Linked DNA regions of Macaca fascicularis. The protein of the gene in region 2 interacts with the protein of the main gene of each other region in a pairwise test. Links are inferred from orthologs where the notes say so. Each region holds a gene or a part of one and is shown on either strand. Other genes may lie near its edges. The genes, in order: RIOK3, CASP10 and XIAP.

What was found.
Region 1: the proteins of CASP10 (region 2) and RIOK3 interact in binary tests that used the Homo sapiens proteins (3 or more experiments, as listed by UniProt). The link is inferred for Macaca fascicularis from reciprocal best matches to the Homo sapiens genes CASP10 and RIOK3.
Region 3: the proteins of CASP10 (region 2) and XIAP interact in binary tests that used the Homo sapiens proteins (3 or more experiments, as listed by UniProt). The two-hybrid records come from large-scale screens. The link is inferred for Macaca fascicularis from reciprocal best matches to the Homo sapiens genes CASP10 and XIAP.

What each region holds. Positions count from the first base shown.
Region 1 is NC_088392.1:66,275,019-66,279,113, forward strand, and holds the end of RIOK3 (serine/threonine-protein kinase RIO3), read right to left. Parts: intron 2,882-4,095; coding exon 2,774-2,881; 3' UTR 1,079-2,773; downstream 1-1,078.
Region 2 is NC_088386.1:96,960,950-96,965,421, reverse strand, and holds part of CASP10 (caspase-10), read right to left. Parts: intron 3,786-4,472; coding exon 3,650-3,785; intron 1-3,649. UniProt on the Homo sapiens protein: Involved in the activation cascade of caspases responsible for apoptosis execution. Recruited to both Fas- and TNFR-1 receptors in a FADD dependent manner. May participate in the granzyme B apoptotic pathways.
Region 3 is NC_088395.1:130,087,075-130,092,220, forward strand, and holds the start of XIAP (E3 ubiquitin-protein ligase XIAP), read left to right. Parts: upstream 1-1,912; 5' UTR 1,913-1,983; exon of another isoform or gene 1,984-2,247; 5' UTR 2,248-2,374; exon of another isoform or gene 2,375-2,632; intron 2,633-5,146.

The DNA.
Region 1 (4,095 bases), on a different chromosome or scaffold from region 2:
CTTTCACTTGAACATTTCTAAATTCCTACAATATTTACATTCAAATAAATGACTTACTTTTGTAAGCAAGAAAAACTAATTTTTATGAAAAGGAAATTGGTAATTATCATATTGAAATAAAAGTTAACTAGTCATCCTTATTTTGATAACTTAATGTGAGATAAAATATCCCTATTTCCGTATTTTATATATTTTCATTTTATTAATTTATTTATTTTGAGACCAAGTCTTTATCTGTCACCCAGGCTGGAGTGTAGTCGTGTGATCATAGCTCACTGCAGGCTGGATCTCCTGAGCTCAAAGAATCCTCCTGCCTCAGCTTCCCCAGTAGCTGGGACCAGAGATGCGTGCCACCCACCTAATGTTCTGTAGAGATGAGGTCTGCTCTGCTGCTCAGGCAGATCTCAAACTCCTAGGTTCAAGTGATCATCCTGCCTCAGCATCCCAAAGTATTGGGATTACAGGTGTGAGCCACCACGCCCAGCCTGTATTTGATTTTTTTTTTTTTTTTTTTTTTTTTTTGAGACGGAGTCTCGCTCTGTCACCCAGGCTGGAGTGCTGTGGCCAGATCTCAGCTCACTGCAAGCTCCGCCTCCCGGGTTCCCGCCATTCTCCTGCCTCAGCCTCCCGAGTAGCCGGGACTACAGGCGCCCGCCACCTTGCCCGGCTAGTTTTTTTTTTTTTGTATTTTTTAGTAGAGATGGGGTTTCACCGTGTTAGCCAGGATGGTCTCGATCTCCTGACCTCGTGATCCGCCCGTCTCGGCCTCCCAAAGTGCTGGGATTACAGGCTTGAGCCACCGCGCCCGGCTTGATTTTTTATTTACTTAGCAAACCAGTATTTTTCACTTTCTTTTTCTACTATGGGAAAAAATCTACTCTGTAATCTACAAGGGGGGTGGGGGTGAAAACCTATTTGTAATGTGAAGTAGGCCATTTGAGACTGAAATCTAACAATGAGAGGTTGAGGGGGAATAATCTACTTAAAACAGTATCACTTAACTTTATACAGAAATGGCAACTTGGTACCAGGACATAAGTTAATATAAGGAACAGGAAGATACCACACAAAGAACCAATTTTAAAATGATCTCTTTTTAATTTCTTAAAAAGCACATTCACAGCACACTCCAAGAATGCCACACAGCAGTGGTTTGCTGCTCTTTGTCAGAATATGTCAGAAAACAAAACAAAAAAAGTTTTAAATGTTTTAAAAATTAGTTCTCTGAAATTTCTGTAAAGCCAGTATCACCAGTCATCTAAATCTTTATTTTGGAACAGTAAATCTTTCAAAAATGTAATTAGCATCTACCCAAAATCACACTTCTCTGAAATGCAATTAAAAGCTATCCAACAAAAACAAAAATAAATATTTTTCTAGAAAGAACATATTTGGCATTTTAAAATAATGTTAAAAACAGCTTTCTCAAATGTAAATGATGTCTAGATTTTTACTTTCTATTACCAGACAGAAGGTTTGGATCTTTAGTGGTTCCAATCTGACTTCAGTAATAGGAGGAATGATTACGTTGAAGTTAATGAACTTCAAACCTAACAAAGCCAATATACTTTTCTAGCACAGTGATTGCTTTTTCAAAGTGGTGTCCAGCACGTACTAAAAACTACTAAGAGTAAGGCCAGAGAGCTCAAATTAGTTGATTAATTTGGTATCTAAATTGGGTTTGGTTTTTTTTTTTCCCTGGAGACAGAGTCTCACTCTGTCGCCCAGGCTGGAGTGCAGTGGCATGATCTCAGCTCACTGCAATCTCCGCCTCCCAGGTTCAAGCGATTTTCCTGTTTGAATTGCTTGAACCACGCCTGGCCCCCAAATTGTTTTATATATACCTTTCATCCTTTGATTTAATATTTCTAATTTGTGATATTTCTCTGAAAATCAATCAAGTACACAGTTTTAGTGAAATGTAAACGGAATTTTGCTTCATTAACTAAATTAAAATATGTCAAACATGGTTCAATCTTATATTCTGTCCTCTCAGATAATTTACATTTTATTGATAAATGTAGATTAGCCACACTATGAGTTATATCCTAACCATTTTACCTAAATGTAGAAAAGCTGAAAGTTGACTGGATAGTTAAAAAGCTGTTATATATTTATCTCTTTCAGAAACCTATGATGCCTTTTCTTAGATATAAGTATGGAAAAAGAATTCTGTTCATTTTCATGATATATCAACAAAAATTACATGGCTTATGTCTATTTCTGTCAGCCATTCTGAAACCAAATTTCCATTTGTTCTACCCATTAAAGAGCACACATTTTCCTTTAGAATCACGGCCACAGTCTGGAAACATAATTGAGAAAGGCTAACTCTGGGCCAGTAAGATATTCAAGGAAAGATGCAACACAAAACAGGGAGGTGAATAAAGCAAATACGTTGTAATGAAACCCTCCCTTGTAAACACATCTGTCCTTTCCTCCCATATTTGGAAATGTTGCCTAAGTTTTAAAAATTATCATCAAGACATTTTACACCACAAGTCATGTAAAATTAGGTCTACTTCAGCCAGATAACCTATAGCTGTTAAAGAATTATATTATCCTGTTCATAAGATGAGAGGTAGTGACATTTTATTCTCTCAATGCTGAGCTAAAGATTCCACACATCTGGCACATGGGTTACAAGGGGGGAAGCAGAGAAGCACCATTGCCCACTCCCCGTGTTCTGGTATTTCGAGTCGCCCACAACTTCATTTGCTATTGGCAGCTGACACTCACGGCTGTGTTAACACTGAAGCAGTGGGTATCAGTGCTATTCATAATATAGCACTGGTGGGTCTCCATCATCTTTCAAAAAAGAAGCAGCTTTCCTTCCATTCTTCTGAACGTGATCTTCATTCATTTTCTCCAAAGCTTCTATCTACAAAAATAATACATTGAATCCATTTGTTAGAATCCTACTTTTCACAGAAACCATATTTTAGATTATGCTAGTAATTTTTTTCTTTTTTTGAAATGGAGTCTCACTCTGTCGCCCAGGCTGGAGTGCAATGGTGCAATCTCGGCTCACTGCAACCTCCGCCTCCTGGGTTCAAGCAATTCTCCTGCCTTAGCCTCCCTAGTAGCTGGGACACATGTGCCACCACACCCAGCTAATTTTTGTATTTTTAGTAAAGACGGGGTTTCACTATGTTGTCCAGGCTTGTCTTGAACTCCTGACCTCAGGTGTTCCACCCGCCTTGGCCTCTCAGAGTGCTAGGATTACAGGCGTGAGCCACCGTGACCGGCCAATTTTTTTATTTTTTAATGGAGTTTATGTTGCTCAGGCTGGTCTCAAATTCCTGGGCTCAAGAGATCCTCCCTCCTTGGCCTCCCAAAGTGCTGGGATTACAGGAATAACAGGAGTGAGCCGCCATGCCTGGCTGAGCCAGTAACTTTTACTCTCTTAAAAACTAGGTTATTCCTAATGATTCTGCCTTTGAGTTGAAATTACTATGTGTGTGTGTGTGTGTGTGTGTGCGCGTGCGCCCGCGTGCATGTGTCCAAGTGTACACAGATAGTCATACATACATGTATTTTTTTTAACTTGATTACAAGGGTCAATATTTACTAACATTATCCAGCTAGCAATTGGAATCATCTATGTTTGAAAGGTATTCTATAAAACATTCCAGGCCGGGCGCGGTGGCTCAAGCCTGTAATCCCAGCACTTTGGGAGGCCGAGGCAGGCGGATCACAAGGTCAGGAGATCGAGACCACAGTGAAACCCCGTCTCTACTAAAAATACAAAAAATTAGCCGGGCGCGGTGGCGGGCGCCTGTAGTCCCAGCTACTCAGGAGGCTGAGGCAGGAGAATGGCGGGAACCCGGGAGGCGGAGCTTGCAGTGAGCCGAGATCGCGCCACTGCACTCCAGCCTGGGCAACAGAGCGAGACTCCGTCTCAAAAAAAAAAAAAAAAAAAAAAAAAAAACATTCCAGAAACAGGAAAAAGAGAATTTTATCATTCATCAAACAACAGTATCATTTACTTACTGAGCAACTGTATTGTGCTGGAAGCTGAATTTACTCTTTCTGTTATTTCTCTCTAGCCTTAGGCTAGGCACAGCTTACCCAAACTCAAGTCATCCTGGGGAG
Region 2 (4,472 bases):
ACTGGAGGTCAGGAGTTCAAGATCATCCTGGTCAACATGGCAAGACTCTGTCTCTACTAAAAATACAAAAATTAGCTTGGCGTGGTGGCAGAGACACCTGTAATCTCAGCTACTCAGGAGGCTAAGACAGAAGAATCGCTTGAGCCGAGATCGTGCCATTGCACTCCAGCCTGGGCAACAAGAGCGAAACTTCATCTCAAAAAAAAAAAAGTCAGCTATATTATGTGGGGGGAAAAGCAAGTTTTAGAATATGATTAGCATGGTCTTTGTTAAAAATATACGTGTCTCTCTGTGTGTGTGTATGTAATATCTCTGTACACTTACAATTGTTTCTATATAGAAGGAAATCAATAAGTATATATTCCAAACAGTGGTTATCTTTGGGAAATGGGTTAGTAATAGAAAAAGAAGAAAAGGAGAAAGACTTTTACCTTCTACACTCTATGTTGCTTTAATTATTTGAATTTTTATTTAATTTTATTATAATTATGTACCTTATTTTAATAATAAATTAAAAATACTAGGCTGGGCGAGGTGGCTCATGCCTGTAATCTCAGGACTTTGGGAGGCCAAGGCAGGTAGATCACGAGGTCAGTAGTTTGAGATCAGCGTGGCCAACATGGTGAAACCTTGTCTCTACTAAAAATACAAAAATTAACTGGGTGCGGTGGTGCATGCCTGTAATCCCAGCTACTCGGGAGGCTGAGGCAGGAGAAGAATTGCTTAAACCTGGGATGGGGAGGTTGCAGTGAGCTAAGACCGTCCCACTGCACCGCAGCCTGGGGAGAGTAAGAGTCTGTCTCAAGAAAATACCAAAGCAAACACCAAGGCTCAAGATAACTTAGAAAGTTAGCCAGGTGGTCCTTAAACAAAGCCAGTGTCCTCGCTTGGACTTTGGATCACACACACTTACAGGAAAGTCTAAACTCTGCACACCTACTCTTTTCAGTCCTTTAGACTTTCATCTTAACAGCAGAACTAGGCTCAAACTCTTAGAACTAAAGAAAGTCAATATTAAAATATCAATAATGATTGACACCCAAAAGAGATCACACACAGGTAGGTTATAGAAAAGAAAAATCAAAATTAGAATTCTGCTGATATAAAGCTCAGTCCTGGGCCAGGCTCAGTGGCTCACGCCTATAATTCCAGCACAGATCACTTGAGGTCAAGAGTTCAAGACCAGCCTGGCCAACATGGTGAAACCCTGTCTCCATTAAAAATACAAAAATTAGCTGGGCATGGTGGCAGGCATCTGTAATCCCAGCTACTCAGGAGGCTGAGGCAGAAAAATCGCTTGAACTTGGGAGGCGGAGGTTTCAGTGAGCCAAAATCATGCCACTGTACTCCAGCCTGGGTGACAGAGCAAGACTCCATCTCAAATAAAAATAAAAATAACAAAGCTCAGGCCAGGCACGGTGGCTCACGCGTGTAATCCCAGCACTTTGGGAGGCCGAGGTGGGCGGATCGCGAGGTCAGGAGATTGAGACCATCCTCGCTAACTCGGTGAAACCCCATCTCTACTAAAAATACAAAAATTAGCCGGGCGTGTTGGCGAGTGCCTGTAGTCCCAGCTACTCAGGAGGCTGAGGCAGGAGAATGGTGTGAACCCGGGAGGCGGAGCTTGCAGTGAGCTGAGATCACGCCACTGCACTCCAGACTGGGTGACAGAGCGAGACTCCGTCTCAAAAAATAAAAATAAAACAACAAATTTCAGTCTTCAAGACTCACTGAGGCAAATGTAATCAACTACATAGAAGCTAGTGTGTCTTCTTTAGAATTTAAGTATCCAAAATAATATGACCACTTGCCCTTTGTTTACTTCATATGGGATATGACATTACAGAAAAATGACAATGTGTTTAGAAAAAAACTCAGAGCTCATGTGAGGATTTGAAATGTTCTTTCCATATCAACCTTCTGCTTTCTCATTTGATAATTTGATGATAGAAAGAACTGTTTTTATTCTTCATAACTTAAATTATGCATTTATTCATCATTTTATTGCTTGAGATTTTATCAATTTGACAACAGTATATTTTGCTCCTCAACTCATTCTGTGTTAACCAAATTCTTAGAGAGACGTTTCCTCTTAGCTAGTTTCATTTTCAACCAAAGAAATCTGCACACTAGAGTCACTCACTGAACTAAATTAAGGGTGTGGCATAAAAGTTTCATGAATATACTCATGCGTTTTTATGTATAGCTCTTGTTTAACAGTGGAGAAATTGACTCAGAAAAACACAGATATTTAGCGTATTGACACGTGGTGAGGCAGCCAGGTTTGACTTCTGCCCTGTGCTTCTACCTGTATAAAATATCACAGCAGAACTATCTTTATCAGACAGACTTGAAAAAAAAAAGAAACCCACATGAAAATAAAGTTCTTCTTTGATAGTAGTTTCTGAGAATGTGAGGTCTTCCTGACTTTTCTCTCTGAGAGAGTCATAGTAGCCACATGTATTGAATGCTTACTCCACGCCAGACATGCATTTTACAGAAACTATCTCCTTCAAACCTCACAAAAACCTAGGAGGTTGGTACTATTATTATGCCCACTTTACAGATGGGGAAAGTGAGACATAGAAAAGCCAAAAAAGTACCACTGCACCACTAGTCAGCGGAGTCCTGGCCATCCGACTCCATAGACTCCACTCTCACCCCATGCTATCCTGCCTTCTTTTTCATGTTATTTGGGTTAAAACAAAATTCCCTATACTCTCACTCCCATATTAGAATCAGAAAAAGACATTTGTCTAAAACTACTTCCCTGCACTGAAATATAAGTTCCAAGAGGGCAGGAGCTTTGTTCTGTACTTTGCTATACCCCCAACTTCTAAAGCAGTGCCTAGTACAACATATGAACTCAACCAATATGTGTTGAAAGAACAAAGGGGGAGATTTCTGGCTTTCCTAGCAGAATATTATCGGAATGATGAGTAAATATCACACACGGGTGAGGAGCGGTGGCTCACACCTGTAATCCCAGCATTTTGAAAGGCCGAGGTGGGTGGATCACTTGAGGTCAGGAGTTCAAGACCAGCCTGGCCAACATGGTGAAACCCTGTCTCTACTAAAAATACAAAAATTAGCCAGGCATGGTGGCAGGCTCCTGTAATTCCAGCTACTCGGAAGGCTGAGGCAGAAGAATCACTTGAGCCCGGGAGGTGGAGGTTTCAGTGAGCCAAGATCACACCACTGCACTCCAGCCTGGGAGACAGAGTGAGTAAGACTCTGCCTCAAAACAAAACAAACAAACAAACAAAACATCATGCATGGCCAATTGCTTTAAGAATTTCCATGGGGCCAGGCGCGGTGGCTCAAGCCTGTAATCCCAGCACTTTGGGAGGCCGAGATGGGCGGATCACAAGGTCAGGAGATTGAGACCATGCTGGCTAACACGATGAAACCCCATCTCTACTAAAAAATACAAAAAACTAGCCGGGCGAGGTGGCGGGCACCTGTAGTCCCAGCTACTTGGGAGGCTGAAGCAGGAGAATGGCGTGAACCCGGGAGGCGGAGCTTGCAGTGAGCTGAGATCCGGCCACTGCACTCCAACCTGGGCGACAGAGCGAGACTCCGTCTCAAAAAAAAAAAAAAAAAAGAATTTCCATGGTCTGGTCCAAGTTAGCAAGCACAAGCTACTTACCTTTCTCTCTTTTGTATTTCTCTATGTTTCTCAAAAGTTTAGGTACAACCATTTTGCAGAGGTCCTCCAAGCATGTCAGATTATCTTCATCTATTTTATCTTGTTTCTCTAGAAGTGCCAGGAAACTCAGGGAGGTCTACAAGAGAATCAATAGAGTTACATTTACTTGCCTACTGATTATCCACTCACTCAGATGTTACCTGCATGGCCAGTAGGCACTAGGTTTTGCACTGATAAATAAGATATAACAGGATCTGCCCTCAAGTTGCTCAGGGGTGTAGGGGAAGAGGCGTTACCAAGCAAATCTGTATACAATCTATATTAATACCAGATACCAAATATATATAACTCTATGCAACAGGGACAGTGCTTGCTGTATATTAACAGCACAACAACTGATTGAGTAGATACTATTATATTCCCCATTTTAAAGATGAAATAATTGAAGCACAAAGAAGTTCCAGTAACTTGCCCAAGGTCACAAAGCTAATTAATGGCAGAGCTGGTACAATCTGATGCCAAAGTCTATTTTATTAACCACTGAACTCTAAGTCACAGCTTTAAGTGATACTGATTAGGAAACCAGCAAAAGAGGGACACCAAAGAAATGAGGAGAAAATGTTTTGAAAGAATTTTATATTTGGTATTTTAAAAGAAAAAGAATTTTCTGAAACAAAAAATCACAATTTGGCTAGTATTTTTTTTTTTTTTTTTTTTTTTTTTCCGAGACGGAGTCTCACTCTGTCTCCCAGGCTAGAGTGCAGTAGTAAAATCTTGGCTCACTGCAACCTCCACCTCCATTCAAACCATTCTCCTGCCTCAG
Region 3 (5,146 bases), on a different chromosome or scaffold from region 2:
CCTCCCACGTTCACGCCATTTTCCTTCCTTCAGGCTCCCTAGTAGCTGGGACTACAGGCGCCTGCCACCACGCCCAGCTAATTTTCTGTATTTTTAGTAGAGACGGGGTTTCACCATGTTAGCCAGGATGGTCTCCATCTCCTGACCTCGTGATCCGCCCGCCTCGGCCTCCCAAAGTGCTGGGATTACAGGCGTGAGCCACCGTGGCCGTCCTATGTATTTTTTTTTTTTTTTTTTTTTTTTTTTTTTTGAGACGGAGTCTCGCTCTGTAGCCCAGGCTGGAGTGCAGTGGCCGGATCTCAGCTCACTGCAAGCTCCGCCTCCCGGGTTCACGCCATTCTCCGGCCTCAGCCTCCCGAGTAGCTGGGACTACAGGCGCTGCCACCTCGCCCGGCTATTTTTTGTATTTCTTAGTAGAGACGGGGTTTCACCGTGTTATCCAGGATGGTCTCGATCTCCTGACCTCGTGATCCGCCCATCTCGGCCTCCCAAAGTGCTGGGATTACAGGCTTGAGCCACCGCGCCCGGCCGTCCTATGTATTTTTATTTATTTCTTTGTTTTGAGACGGAGTCTGGCTCTGTCACCCAGGCTGGAGTGCAGTGGTGTGCTCTCGGCACTGCAGCCTCCGCCTCCCGGGTTCCAGCGATTCTCCAGCCTCAGCCTACCAAGTAGCTGGGATTACAGGTGCACACCACCACACCCGGCTAATTTTTGTATTTTTAGTAGAGACGGGTTTTCACCATATTGGCCAGGCTGGTCTCGAATTACTGACTTCTGGTGAACCACCCGCCTCGGCCTCCCAAAGTGTTAGGATTACAGGCGTGAGCCACCGCGCCCAGCCAAAACAGTAAATTTTATGTCATGTACATTTTACCACAAGAAAAAAACAGTGCTTAAAAAAAAGCAAAAACAAAAATTAGAGAAGTGCCACTAGAGTTCAGAGCATGAAGGGATTAACTTCAGCTAAGAAAATCAGAGAAGGCTTTGTGTACGAGGATGGGGGGGCAGGCACAACGAGTAGTTCTGATTTGTTAGAAGATAGGGTAGGGTGCCCAAGGGGAGAATAAACATGCAACTAAGAGTTTTAAGAAAAGTCTTTCCTCTCCTCCCTCCCAAGTTCCCTTGTTGTGAAGGGAGGATCATATCTTGCATCACTTGATTTCATTTGAAATGAAATATTCAGAATCCATCATCTCACCACATTACCCTGTAAGATCCCATTTTCCTGAAACAAAAATTCCTATGTTGATCTGACAATCCTACAACGCATTTGAAATAAATCCAGGATTTATTTCAGCATTTTATGTACACAGACTTCCTTTGTTTCCTGTCCATCTGCTTTCTTTTTCCTCTATTAATTTTCCCTTCACCTCCCAATCTTAACCCCCGCCATTCCCCCAGGGTCTCCTTTTCTTGTCATCCCCTTCATCCTTTCCTTCTTGGAAAAAGATCCGATTCTAACCTCAGTTACCTTACTAGCCGCGTGATACTGGGATAGCTATCCCCTCTGGGTCTCAGTTTCCTTTGTAAAATGGGCTTATTAAATCCCCAGAGACAGTGCTTATCTTACAGGGTTGTCAACATTACAACAAAGACCACGTTATATGCCTAACACAGTACCTGATCTATAGTAAGAACTCAACATTTTCGCCCCTTCTCCTCCTCTTTTCCGTCCTTGTGCCTTTCTTCCCCTATTCCTCAACCCCAGGGCCCAACAGGTAAAAACCGTGGGAAAAACCATCCTTGAGGCCAAAAGAAGAAACGCAGGAGCTAGGGGCGGAGAGTACGAGGTGCTCACTGCGCATGTGCGCCCGCTAGGTCAGGTTCTGGGTTCCAGCTGGGAGGGGGGGCGGGGGGGTGGGGTTAGGGGTTGCAAGGGCCTCATTTTTTCTTACTGCCCCCTTCCGGTTCGGGAAGGTGGGGGGACCTTGGCGGTGCCCGGAGCCGGCGTGGCGCTCATCGAGGGACGCCCGGCTCAAGTGGTAAGTTGGAAAATGGCGGAGGGGGGGGAAGAAGGAGGGGCTTTGCAGGGCAGGAGGCTGACCTCCCGGCCGGGGGTGGGAAGGACACAGCCGGGGCCCAGTGGCGCAGCCCGGGCCCGGAGACTGACGGACAGCGCCTGGTGTCTCTTTGAGGCCCTGACGTGGACAAACTTCGGGTTTCACGACTCCGGGTTTCTCCAGCGGATGGGCAGACCGGTGGAGGCGCGTGAGGGAGACGAAGGGACTTCCGTTTCCTTCACCTAGGCTGGGGCCAGGCCGCAGAACGGAGTTGGCATTTCCAGATTGGGGCTCGGGCCGCGCCTCCTCCGGGACCCTCCCCTTGGACCGAGCTGATCGCCGCGGGGCAGTTCGGGCCGGCTGTCCTGGCGCGGTGGGTACAGCTTGTGTAGGCTTTCGCCTCCTCCGCTTTCCCTCCTTACCCTCTTCTCCCTCCCCTCTCTTCTTTTCCCCTCCACTCCCCTCGGGCCGGCGCTGCTGGGGAGGGCGGGAAGGCCGCGCCCGCCTGGCAGAGGTGGCCTGGCCCCGGCTGCTTGCCCGGGTTCCTCGGACTGCCGACGGCAGGCGTGGGTGAGTGGGTGGGTGACTTCAGGCCCGCGGGACTGCCTTCCTAAACCCTGTGACACCTAAGGTAAATTGAGGCAAATAACTTTTTTAAAAAATATGATCAAAGGGATTTCCTCCCCTTGTGATACCTGTGGCTTGTGTGGAGCAGGGTGGAGTGTGTCTGGAGAGGGCATATGAAACAGAAAGAATAAGGGCCAAAGAGCTTCCGGAAGAGGAAATTAGCTGGTAATTCTTTCCAATCTGCTTTCCCAGTCACCTCTCCGGCATGTTCTGTAAAACAAAATGTAATTTGATTTTGTTTCATTATTTTAACTCCATAACACTTAAATTATTTTCTTTTCGGGGAGGGGAGTGTTTATTCTCAAACTAAGCAGTAGCACTCTCCACCTCCGAAAAAGGAAAAACGTCAACCCAAGCTTTGTTAAAAAAAACCCCAACCAATCAGATTTTAATAATCTACTACTTTGCTTTCAAATATAATTATGTCGCTAGTTCTGTCACAACTATACTTTGATAGTTTAATGACTCACAGAAATTTGTAAGACTGGAGGTTTCAGTAGTGTTTCTTTTCCTTTTTTTCCCCATAATATTTATTACAGTCAATGAACAGTGTTACAGACGGCCATCTTAGAATTATAACATTTTAGAGTTGGAAGGGATCTTAGTCAAACCCTGTCCTTTTACAAAACCAGAAACAACGGCTTAGGGAGATTTCATAGCTTGCTTAAGGCTATCCAACTAGTTAAATTAGAACCCATGTTATCTGGCTTCTTGCCCATCACTTTGCACAGTTGCTCCATATCGCCTCCAAGCATGAAAATTAAATGTATTCAATTCAACACACATTTCTGAAGAGTATAATACTTTGTACCAGTGACTGTGGTACCACTTTCTATGTATTTCAATGTATTTAACATGCTTATGGAGTACTTGAGCTTCCCCCCCACCCCCACATTCAAGAAGTGGCAACAGTTTAGATTTATATACACACCTTCACATGTATGTGTGTATACTTGCATTTGCCTAGATAGTTTCTTGAAGGATACACAATAAAAATGTTAACAGTAGTTACTTATGGAGAAGAGAGGTAGAAGACTTTTTACTTTGCACTTCACATGACCTAATGTACGGTTTGAATTTGTTATAAATTTGTATTGATTTCATAATTGAAAAGTTTTAAAGTTCACACCTTCCCACACAAATATATATATCAACATAGGCAAATATATACCAATGGTACATACACATATTTATGCACATATATGTATTTATACATATCAGTGGTTTGTACTGTAAAATCCAGTATGATTCAGGTCAACTCAGCTGACAAAGCAGGCCTCTATTGGATACTCATGTTTCATTTTCTTGTATTGCTCTCTCCTAATGTAAGATAGTAAAAATAATATGTTACTAGTTGTCATATATTTTTAGAAATTGTCCTAAGCTTCTTGATTATCAAATAATGTAGCAAACTTTTAACACATTTAGAATATCAGATTTGGGTACTTGCTTCAGTGGTAGCACATATACTAAAATTGGAACAATTCAAAGAAGATTAGCATGGTGTTTTTTTGTTTGTTTGTTTGTTTTTGAGACGGAGTCTTACTCTGTCATCCAGGCTGGAGTGCAGTGGCACGATCTTGGCTCACTGCAGCCTCCGCCTCCTGGGTTCAAGTGACTCTCCTGCCTCAGGCTTCCGAGCAGCTAGGACTACAGGCACGCGCCACCATGCCCGGCTAATTTTTGTATTTTTAGTAGACACGGAGTTTCTCCATGTTGGCCAGGCTGATCTCGAACTCCTGACCTCAGGCGATGCACCGGCCTCAGCCTCCCAAAGTGCTGGGATTACAGGTGTGAGCTACCTCGCCCGGCCGGTCCCTTTTTTTGTTTGTATGTGTGTTTGTGTGAGACAGAATTTCGCTTTTGTTGTCCAGGCTGGAGTACAATGGCGCCATCTCGGCTAACTGCAACCTCCACCTCCTGGGTTCAAGTGATTCTTCTGCCTCAGCCTCCCAAGTAGCTGGGATTGCAGGTGCCCACCACCACACCCGGCTGATTTGGTCCCGTTTTAAATAAGCAACAACAACAACAAAAATTTGACACCTGACGCTGTGGCTCATGCCTGTAATCCCAGCACTTTGGGAGGCCAAGGCGGGTGGATCACCTGAGGTCAGGAGTTCCAGCCTGGCCAACATGGTGAAACCCCATCTCTACTAAAAGTAAAAAACTAGCCGGGTGTGGTGGTGTGCGTCTATAGTCCCAGCTACACAGGAGGCTGAAGCAGAAGAACTGCTTGAACCCAGGAGGCAGAGGTGGCAGGGAGCCGAGATCGCACCACTGTACTCCAGCCTCAGTGACAAGAGTGCACCTTTGTCTCAAAAAAAAAAAAAAAAAAAAAAAAGAAATTGATACAATGAAAATATCTGCAGCCTGGGCAACATGGCGCAGCCCTCTCTCTAATAAAAATACAAAAATTAGCCAGGCGTGCTGGCTTGTGCCTGTAGTCCCAGCTACTTTGGGGAGTTGAAGCAGGAGGATCACCTGAGCCTTGGGAGGTGGAGGCTGCAGTGAGCCATGA